Linked DNA regions of Macaca fascicularis. The protein of the gene in region 1 interacts with the protein of each later gene in a biochemical or structural test. Links are inferred from orthologs where the notes say so. Each region holds a gene or a part of one and is shown in the gene's direction. Other genes may lie near its edges.

The links. The genes of interacting proteins can lie anywhere in the genome.
Region 2: the proteins of FGFR4 (region 1) and FGF19 form a complex in vitro, tested with the Homo sapiens proteins (2 studies listed by BioGRID and IntAct). The link is inferred for Macaca fascicularis from reciprocal best matches to the Homo sapiens genes FGFR4 and FGF19.

Annotation. Positions count from the first base shown.
Region 1 is NC_088380.1:184,007,031-184,011,929, forward strand, and holds the start of FGFR4 (fibroblast growth factor receptor 4), read left to right. Parts: upstream 1-1,711; 5' UTR 1,712-1,855; intron 1,856-2,238; exon of another isoform or gene 2,239-2,783; intron 2,784-4,029; 5' UTR 4,030-4,082; coding exon 4,083-4,173; exon of another isoform or gene 4,174-4,420; intron 4,421-4,855; coding exon 4,856-4,899. UniProt on the Homo sapiens protein: Tyrosine-protein kinase that acts as a cell-surface receptor for fibroblast growth factors and plays a role in the regulation of cell proliferation, differentiation and migration, and in regulation of lipid metabolism, bile acid biosynthesis, glucose uptake, vitamin D metabolism and phosphate homeostasis.
Region 2 is NC_088388.1:4,953,576-4,958,627, forward strand, and holds the start of FGF19 (fibroblast growth factor 19), read left to right. Parts: upstream 1-1,683; 5' UTR 1,684-1,829; coding exon 1,830-2,061; intron 2,062-2,323; coding exon 2,324-2,427; intron 2,428-5,052. UniProt on the Homo sapiens protein: Involved in the suppression of bile acid biosynthesis through down-regulation of CYP7A1 expression, following positive regulation of the JNK and ERK1/2 cascades. Stimulates glucose uptake in adipocytes. Activity requires the presence of KLB and FGFR4.

The DNA of each region.
Region 1 (4,899 bases):
ACCGTTTATTCCCCGAAGAAGACCACCAGAGTCCAGAGTCAAAGCTAAGCAGCAAGGATCTTTATTACAGGTTCGAACCTGGAACTCTCCCTCGCTCGTGAAACGAGACAGGCAGGAGAGCTCCCCCACTGAGCTCCGAGCAGTGTTATATAGTCTAAGAAAAGTGGGCATAGAGTTATTATACAAATCAGATATATGATTGGCTAGTGTTTGAACAAGGCGATTTGGCTAACTATGATTGGTTCCCGCCATTTCTGATATTTTGGTTCAAACTTTGAGGCGGGAGAGCAGGTTTATGGCAGCAAGAGTTTTTCTTACTTAAACACGTCTTGTGACCTTGCCTCAGAACTTACAAAATCTCTGGTATGTGCAAAACAAAATCTCTGGTACGTGCAGAAAACCAGGTACTCACAGAACTTACGAAATCTCTGGTATGTGCAAAGATTAGAGAGCAGAACAAAGGTGTAGCGGGTGGGGGGCGGGTACACATCTATCTTTGTGTCCTTTCACTAGTATTACAAAGCAAGCGCTGCATGCCAGGCTTACATATACTGCTAACATGTCTACTTTTTGTTTTTTTGAGATGGAGTCTCGCTCTGTCGCCCAGGCTGGAGTGCTGTGGCCGATCTCGGCTCACTGCAAGCTCCGCCTCCCGGGTTCACGCCATTCTCCTGCCTCAGCCTCCCGAGTAGCTGGGACCACAGGCGCCCGCCACCTCGCCCGGCTAGTTTTTTGTATTTTTTAGTAGAGACGGGGTTTCACCGGGTTAGCCAGGATGGTCTTGATCTCCTGACCTCGTGATCCGCCCGTCTTGGCCTCTCAAAGTGCTGGGATTACAGGCTTGAGCCACCGCGCCCAGCCACATCTACTTTTTGCAACAACCTCTTGAGGGTGAGACTATCATTTGCCTGTTTCACTGAAAAGACAGTGAAGACCGAGGCCTTGTGTGATGGTGCTGAGAGCTGGGCCTATGACGTCCAGCCCTGTAGTCTGTGCTCTGAACCACTTCACTCTGTTTCTTTCTCCATCCTCACAACAGAGAAGTCATCTAAGAGGAGCTTGCAAGTCCGGAGGGCTTCCTGGAGGAAGTGAGCTGAGAATAATATAAAATTAACCAGACCAAAGGGCATTCCAGGAAGAGGGAATGGTACCTGAAACTGCCCAGGAGTAGCAGGGAGCCAGGAGGCGTGGGTCATGGCAATAATCTATGTATAAAGAGCTATGGGAAGCTATAGGAAAATTTAAGGGAGTGGCTGACACAGTCAGATTTGTGTTGTAAGTATCACTCCCCAGGTTGCGCAGAGAACAAATGAGGGAGCCGAAGGAAGGGGTTCTCCTATCCACTGCACGGTACTGCGCAGAAGACAGGGGAGCCAGGCATTCCCTGAGGGGTGAAAAGCAAGCAGTAGAGCTGGGTAGTGGACTAGAACTTAGAAGCCTGGCCTGGAGCCTGGGTGGGGCGAAAGAGGAGGAGCCTGAATGGGGTGTGTATAGGGGGTGTGCGTAGGGGTGTGTGTATAGGCTGGGGCGGGGTCCCTGGAGTGGGCTGACTGGGTCGGCGGCAGGTCTCCAGGTGGGCGGGGCTCTTGGCCACCTCCCCCGCCGGCCACACCTCTCTCCGGCTCGAGCTGGGCCAGGAGGGGTGGGCCCGAGGGGGCGTGGCAGGAGGCGGGCGGGCCCGAGCAGGAGGGGCGGGCCCGAGGGGCGGGGCAGGAGGTGGGCCGCCCGCGGCCACGCCGCCGTCGCGGGTACATTCCTTGCTCCCGGCTGAGGAGCGCTTGGGCTGTCTGCGGACCCCGCCGGGTGCAGGGGTCGCGGCCGGCTGGAGCTGGGAGTGAGGCGGCAGAGGAGCCAGGTGAGTAGGAGGCAGGCGACCAGGACCCTGTGCAGGGCGCGGAGTCACGCAGGCTCGAGGTGAGCCGGAACCCTTGCGGGCCCGGGCTGCGCTCCCAGCCGCCAGGGGGCGAGCGGCGGCGGGGCTGCAGGGACTGCCCCTCCCGGCGCAGGGGACCTGGGCGTCCGCCGGGCGGCAGGGGGTGGAGGGGGCGGTAAATCAGTAACCCGCAGTGCACACAGGGCCTTTTGTCCCGCTCCGTCCAAAGAGCACCCTGGCCGCGGAGCTGGTTACTCATTGCCCACCGAGGCGGGGGCAGGCTGGCCCTGTGCAGCTACCCTCGGGACCCATTGATTCGCACCTCCCCCCAGGCTGGCCCGGCAAGGGTGGGGGAGGACAAGCTTGTCCCTGCGGCTGTCTTCGCGCCGGCGGCAGAGATGAGGGAGCTGAGGCCCCGAAAGTTTCAGTCACTTAGCGCCCGGGGGCCTCCACCGCGAGTGCGGGAGGCTGTCTGATGCCTAAGGCAGGCCCTCTGTTCCCACGTGTGGGGTGGTCGGTCAGCGGTCAGCAGCCACGGGTGACTTTTCCACGGACTCTGATATCAGGGCAGCCTGGGGTAGGAATAAAATCCCCGGGCCTCCCCAGCCACTCCCAGCCCAAGCTGTGTACTCAAAGAGCTGCCCTCCCTGCCAAGCCGAGCTTGGTAGGGGGTTTTACCAAGGGGGATCCAACTGGATTTGAGAGTTGAAGTGGCCTCAGAGACAGCAGTATCTGAGTCAAGTAGAGAAGAGGAATGGGGGGCACAGAGGGATGGGCAAGAGAGCATATGTGACCAGTTTTGAGAGCCAATGGCTTCAGCGCTCCTGAAGGGACAGACGGTGTGACCAAAGAGATAGGCAGCGGAACAGAGGGAGCCCTAGGATGCTGAGCTGAATCCTGCTGGGCACAGGTAACCATTAAGGGCTTGCAAGCTGGGGGCATGACATGGCAGACTTGTAGTTTTTTAAAACTCTGCTGGAAGATGAAGGTTGAAGAGCCCAGGGAGAGGATGTTTCCAAAGGCCCATGCAAGAGATGGCCATGACCTGCCCTGAGTCAGGGCAGGGGAAGCCAGATGGACTGGAAGTGGAGTGGCAGTGACCAAGGGTAAGGAGGTGTGATAGGCTTCCCACACAGGGTAGATCCAGAGGCACCAGTGCCACCCATAGGCCCCTAGGACTGCAGTGATCACAGTATTCCTTTGTCCCAGCTGAGACTCGGTTCTGAGTGTTCTGTTTTGGGGAACAGAGGTGTCCTTGGTAGCATTTGGAAGAGGATAGCCAGCTGGGGTGTGTGTACATCACAGCCTGACAGTAACAGCACCCGAACCGGAGGTGACTGGCTGAGGGCAGACCCAGGGCAACAGGTGAACAGTTCTAGGGCCGGGCACAGGGAGAAGAACATTCCAACACTCTGTGTGCCCAGTGCCGATGCACGTTGTCTCTTTTATCCTCAAAACAGTCCTATGAGGATAGTAACCCAGAGAGAGACAGAGACAAGGAATTACAAGTTGATGAGAGTCGGGATTTGAACTTGGCTCTGGTGGATGGATAATTACGGTCTGTATTCTTTACAAAACCGTGTGTACCTCGGATGGAGTTGGTGCATGACAAGCAGAGGTATTCAGGGATGCGGTCCTGCTTGCCACGGAAGGAGCTGCCTTGTCAGTGGTGGGCGCCCAGCTCTGGAAATGTCAGTAATGCTATAAGGAGTGGGGATTGGATCAGATAACATCCAGATGCTGAAGTTTGGCCTTGTATCATTTTTCACTTTGTTTTTTGGCTCTTCGGCAATCAATTCATTTATTCAGCAAAAAATAAATTACGTGTGCCAAGAGCATGCAGAAGATAGTCTCCGTTCTCTGCTTCCCTCCAAGAAAAGAATCCCAAAACTGCTTTCTGTGAACGTGTGCCAGGGTCCCAGCAGGACTCAAGGAGAGCAGGAAGCCCAGCCCAGACCCCTTGCACAACCTACTGTAGGAAGGCGTCAGGCTCTGGCTACAGCAGAGCTGGTTCCAGTCTGCACTGCCACAGCCTGGCCAGGGACTTGGACACATCTACTGGCCACTTCCTGTCTCCGTTTCCTCATCTGCAAAATAAGGGAAAGCCCCCGCAAAGGTGCATGTGGAGCAGGAGCTCTTTTCCCCCCCTATTCTAGGAAGGCAGTTGGTGGGAAGTCCAGCCTGGGCCCCTGAGAGCTGCGGGAAGGAGATGCGGCTGCTGTCGGCCCTCTTGGGGGTCCTGCTGAGTGTGCCTGGGCCTCCAGTCTTGTCCCTGGAGGCCTCGGAGGAAGTGGAGCTGGGTATGGCTTCTGAGGGGGGAGAGGGTGGCAGGGGTGGGAAGAGTGGGCACCAGGAGGGGGCTGCTGGGCTGAGCAAAGCTGGAAAGGATCCTTGCCCAGGCCCTGAGAAAGTGGCAACAGGGCAGGGCTCAACCACTGAGACTCAGTCAGTGCCTGGCTTCCAGCAAGCATCCATGTATCTCTGTGTCTGCGAGAGAGGACTGGCCTCGCAGGGTGCAGGGCCCTAAGCTGGGCCGCAGAGCTGGTGGTGAGCTCCTTGCCTGGGTGTGTGCGCGCGCGTGTGTGTGTGTGTGTTCTGTGCACTGGATGTGTGACCTAGGAGGTCCAGGCAGCATGTGTGGTGTATGCATTATGAGGGTGATATGCCCCAGCGCAGCATGACCCTGTATATGGCACCGATAGCATGTGCCTTGTGTGTGTGTGTCCGTGTGTGTGTGTGTGTGTGTGTCTTGGCCAGTGTCATGTGCACTAAATGCTGTGTGCGTGACATGCCCCAAGAGTGTGGCATTTGCCCTGGGTGTGGCATCCGCAGCATGTGGCTGTGCGGGTGTCAAGGAGCGGTGGCTCCTCCAGCATGCGTCGCGAGGTGCTTGTGCCCTGCATGTGTGGCGTGTTCTCTGTACGCAGGAGGCTGCCTCAGATGGGGCTGTGGGGTCTGCTGACCTCTGCCCTCTGCCCACAGAGCCCTGCCTGGCTCCCAGCATGGAGCAGCAAGAGCAGGAGCTG
Region 2 (5,052 bases), on another chromosome or scaffold:
TACCACGGATCTTTAAAACGAAAGCTGCAGGGGAGGGTAATTAAGTTTAATAGGAGCCGCCGTCGATTTAAAGCCACAGGGGGGAAGTAATTAGATTTAACAGAAGCCACTGCTTTCTGAACCAAGACACACAGCGTGGGGGTCCCTGGTCTAGAAAGCCTTCGGGATGATGTCTTTTTGTAAAGACTTTCCTGGTGACATTTGCTGCGCCCTCAGTCATTAACGCCAGTCACTGACTGGGGGATGAATGTGGCCTGTGCTCATTGAAATTCATTAGGCCTGGCATTTCTCTCGCTGTCTCTCCCGTTTGCCCTCCCCATCGCCTTTGCGCTGGGCCAGGAGGGCTCTGCCCCAAAACCAGCCTCCTGGGGCCCCACATCTAGGAGCTGGGGGTTTGGAAGAATAACAAGAAATAATTAGAGTTAAGCCAAACCCCCCTAGGAGGACCCCTTTATTCCCCGCCAGGGTATTCTCTGGATGTCCTTTTCTTTATTTACAGGAACCACTTCATGGAGCGGCCCCTATTTCTTTCCTCACCTGGCACATGCCCGGAAGCCAGGGGCGCCCATCACCGTTCCTTGGCCCCTTCCCGACCCCTCCCCACCAGGTAAGGCGCTCTCGACCTCCCCGACCGTGCTGTTCCCCCTGACCCCGTGCGCAGAGACTCGGGGACTGAAGGACCAGACCCCCGACACAAGACAGCTCAAAAACCGGGAAACGGAGGCCCAGGCCTCCCTCCCTGCGCCTCTGCCTCCATCACCCTCCAGCCGAGAAGCTGGGGTTCACCAATCCCGCAGCTGGCCCGCACCCCCTGCCCGAGAGCCTTCTTCCCAGTGCCCCCTTTCAGGTAGCATCTCGGGCACAGCCGCGGGGCCGGGGCGAGCGCGGAGCAGGCAGGGGCGCGCGGCCAGGAGCGCAAAGCCGAGGCCGACGCCGAGGCTGCGGCGCCACCTACAGTCCGCGCGGCTCCCATTGTTTCCCGGCCCGCAGAGAGCGCGCCCGGCCCCCCGTCGGGGGGCAATTTACCCGGATAAAAGGGGCGGGGCAGGAATTGCAAGAAGATGAAGCTGGGAGAACCTGAGACGGTCGGAACTGCGGGGGGAAATTCTATTGGACGGCTTTGACGTCAGATGTGCTGGGCTGGGAAAGTCGGGGGAGGGAGTGCGAGTGGCCTTTTAAGGGGAAGGACCCTAAGGCCGAGGTGAGGCTTTTACCGACTAGAGGGTGAAGGAGGCAAAACTCGGTGCCCCCAAACCTCTGACCCCGGGGTTCCTGACCCCGCCCCTGCTGGTGCCCCATGCCGAGAGCATCCACTGGGAGCCCGACGCCTGGGGGAGGGGCCCCAGTTGTCGATTGCTTTGCAAAGTCAAACTCTCCCAGCCAAGAACCTCGGGGCCGCTGCGCGGTGGGGAGGAGTTCCCCGAAACCCGGCCGCTAAACGAGGCCTCCTCCTCCCGCAGATCCGAACGGCCTGGGCGGGGTCACCCCGGCTGGGACAAGAAGCCGCCGCCTGCCTGCCCGGGCCCGGGGAGGGGGCTGGGGCCGGAGGCGGGGTGTGAGTGGGTGTGTGCGGGGGGCGGAGGCTTGATGCAATCCCGATAAGAAATGCTCGGGTGTCTTGGGCACCTACCCGCGGGGCCCGTAAGGCGCTACTATATAAGGTTGCCGGCCCGGAGCCGCCGCGCCGTCGGAGCAGGAGCGCTGCGTCCAGGATCGAGGGCCACGGCCATCCCAATCCGGCACTCACAGCCCCGCAGCGCATCCCGGTCGCCGCCCAGCCTCCCGCACCCCCATCGCCGGAACTGCGCCGAGAGCCCCAGGGAGGTGCCATGAGGAGCGGGTGTGTGGTGGTCCACGCCTGGATCCTGGCCAGCCTCTGGCTGGCCGTGGCCGGGCGTCCCCTCGCCTTCTCGGACGCGGGGCCCCACGTGCACTACGGCTGGGGCGACCCCATCCGCCTGCGGCACCTGTACACCTCCGGCCCCCATGGGCTCTCCAGCTGCTTCCTGCGCATCCGCACCGACGGCGTCGTGGACTGCGCGCGGGGCCAAAGCGCGCACAGTGAGTGCCAGCCAGGTCCCCCGCCCGCCCCGCCCCGCGCATCCCACCCCAGCGCCCTTCCTTCCTTTGCCACCCTTAGGCTCCTGCGGACCCCTCAACTCCTGGGAACCCCAGGTTTTGGCACTTGGGCGTTAGGATCCCTCCCTTAGTCCCCAAACGGCGCGGGACGCTAGGGAGAGGCACAGGCTCGTGGACCGACCGCACCCACGTGGTGCGAGCCCCGGGGGTCCCGGCTGCAGCTTCTCGCTTTCCCTGCGCCCAGGTTTGCTGGAGATCAAGGCAGTAGCTCTGCGGACCGTGGCCATCAAGGGCGTGCACAGCGTGCGGTACCTCTGCATGGGCGCCGACGGCAAGATGCAGGGGCTGGTAAGTGTCCCCACGGGGCGGATGCGCCGGGGCGGGGAACCAACGCCTGTCCCCGGGCGGAGGCCGGAAGGAGAAAAAGGCGCTGGTTCGAATCCAGGGTTTTCTCGCCTCCTCCGACCAGACCCGTGTGCAACTTTGAGGGAGATTGCAAAGACCGATTAAGTGCATGTCCGACGATTTTCTACTGAAATTTAGGGTCTCAGCCAGTAGCCAGAGAATAGGCAAAAGCTGCCTTTGCATTTGCAATTGAGTCAAAGGCCGGCCCAGCCGGACCGAGGAAACCCATTATTCGGCCTCCTTTGATATTAAACAGGAAAACCCACCTCGGGCCTTTTCAGCCTCTGCCTGCGCGTGTGTGGTCCTCGCCTCCGTTTCCCTCCCTCCAGTATAAAAAGAAGAAAAAAAGAACAGGAAAGAAAAAAGAGGGTCTACCCATAACTTTCCTTTAAAAAACAAATCAATTGTCCAGCAAGGCAGAAAACAGTGCATTTGGGATAGGCGAGTTTTTTTAGAATTAATTTTTAATCTACCAGGAGCACGATGTGGCTTAGACGCAGATGCGCTGGAGTCAAGTTGCGCCAGAGGCGTGCTTTTCCTCCTGCGGGCCTCACCTGTCCTGTAAACGCTTTCTGGTGGGGGCAGGGGGTGGCGGCTGGCTGGGAAGGCCCAGGTAACCGCAGAGGTCCCGGGGCCGGAAGTGTACGAGCGCTGGGGCTCTGGTGGCCCTGGAACAAAGGCTGGGAGTTCAAAGGAACGAACCCGCGCCCCTCCCGCGGCCCCGCGCGCAGAGGAGGCTGTGTGAGGTCTCGGCCCGCGCAGGCCTCACACGCAGCCCCGGACTCCCTGGCGGAGCAGGGGCCAGGGCGGGGGTGGCCGCGCCTGCCCGGGGCCCCCACCCCAGAAAGGATGCAGAGGCGGGGCCGCCTCCAGCACAACCAGCTCCTTTGTGAACAGCGGGACAAAGCATTTTAAGAGTCTCAAAATTGCTCGGTGCTTCTGTCGTGCTCCGTGTACTCAGAGCGCCTGTTTCAGGTTTTATGGCGGAGTCCTGCGTGAGAGGACTGCAGGGAAACGGGGTGGTCGGCACGCTGGACGCTGACTCCCACCCAGAGCCGCTCCAAACCCACCCTTGCAACTTTAATTTTGACATATATGATGGTGGGGGGAGTGCTTCTAATGATGGGAGGCCAGCAGGGGACATCAACCTAACCCGCCATTCTGCCCAAATTGGGGGTTGGGTCACCTGAAATCCCTTTGTGCCTTTTTTTTCTTTTTTTCTTTTTGGCAGAGTCTTGCTCTGTCCCACAGGCTGGAATGCAGTGACCCGATCTCGGCTCACTGCAACCTGTGCCTCCCGGGTTCAAGCGTTTCTCCTGCCTCAGTCTCCCATGGAGCTGGGATTACAGGTGCCCACCACCACGCCCAGCTAATTTTTGTATTTTTAGTAGAGATGGAGTTTCACCTTGTTGTCCAGGCTGGTCTCGAACTCCCAACCTCAAGTGATCCGCCCATCTCGGCCTCCCAAAGTGCTGGGATTACAGGTGTGAGCCACCGGGCCCAGCCCCCTTTGTGCCTCTTGATCCCCTGTGCATGGTCTAACACAGATTGAGGATCTTTCTCTCTCTTTCTCTTTCCTTCCTTCCTTCCTTCCTTCCTTCCTTCCTTCCTTCCTTCCTTCCTGCCTGCCTGCCTTCCTTCCTTCCTTCCCTCCCTCCCTCCCTCCCTCCCTCCCTCCCTCCCTCCCTCCCTCCTTCCTTCCTTCCTTCCTTCCTTCCTTCCTTCCTTCCTTCCTTCCTTCCTTCCTTCCTTCCTTCCTTTCTCTCTCTCTCTCTTTCCTTTCTCTCTCTCTTCCTTTCTTTCTTTTTTGAGACGGAGTCTCGCTCGCTCTGTCACCCAGGCTGGAGTGCAGTGGCATGATCTCGGCTCACTGCGACCTCCACCTGTGGGGTTCAAGCAATTCTTCTGCCTCAGCCTCCCAAGTAGCTGGGACTACAGGCGTCGTGCCACCATGCCCAGCTAGTTTTTTTGTATTTTTAGTGGAGATGGGGTTTCACCATCCTGGCCAGGCTGGTCTCGAACTCCTGACCTCATGATCTGCCTGCCTTGGCCTCCCAAAGTGCTGGGATTACAGGCGTGAGCCACCTCGCCTGGCCTCTTTCTTTCTTAAATAAAGATTCCACATTCTTCTAGAAACTTGAAGTCATTTCATCTTCTGTATGGGGAATGTAATACTTATTTCTCCCAAAGGACAAGCCGAGTAAATAGAAGGAGGTCCTCCAGTTATTCGGTTTTGTGTTCCTTGTTTATTTATCATTTGGCATGTTTGGGAGAAATCGTGCTTGCTGTCCAGTGCTTTGTCCCAGCCATCCGTGGGCTCGGCAGGATCCTGGGTTGCTGCAATGAGCCTCTTATCAGGAGCTTATTGGCACAGGCACATCCTCACCCACCTGCAGTTCAGTGACCTTTGCAGACTTAGGCAGAAACCTGACTGAGGCCGTCCTGCAGTGTGTTTACTGCCCAGCCCTTCCGGCTCCTGCCCGCGCCTGTCCTGGGTCACCAAGGGGTAATGACACCTGTGTGGGATGGCACTTGCCCACTGGCACCTCTCAACCCTGTGGACTATGA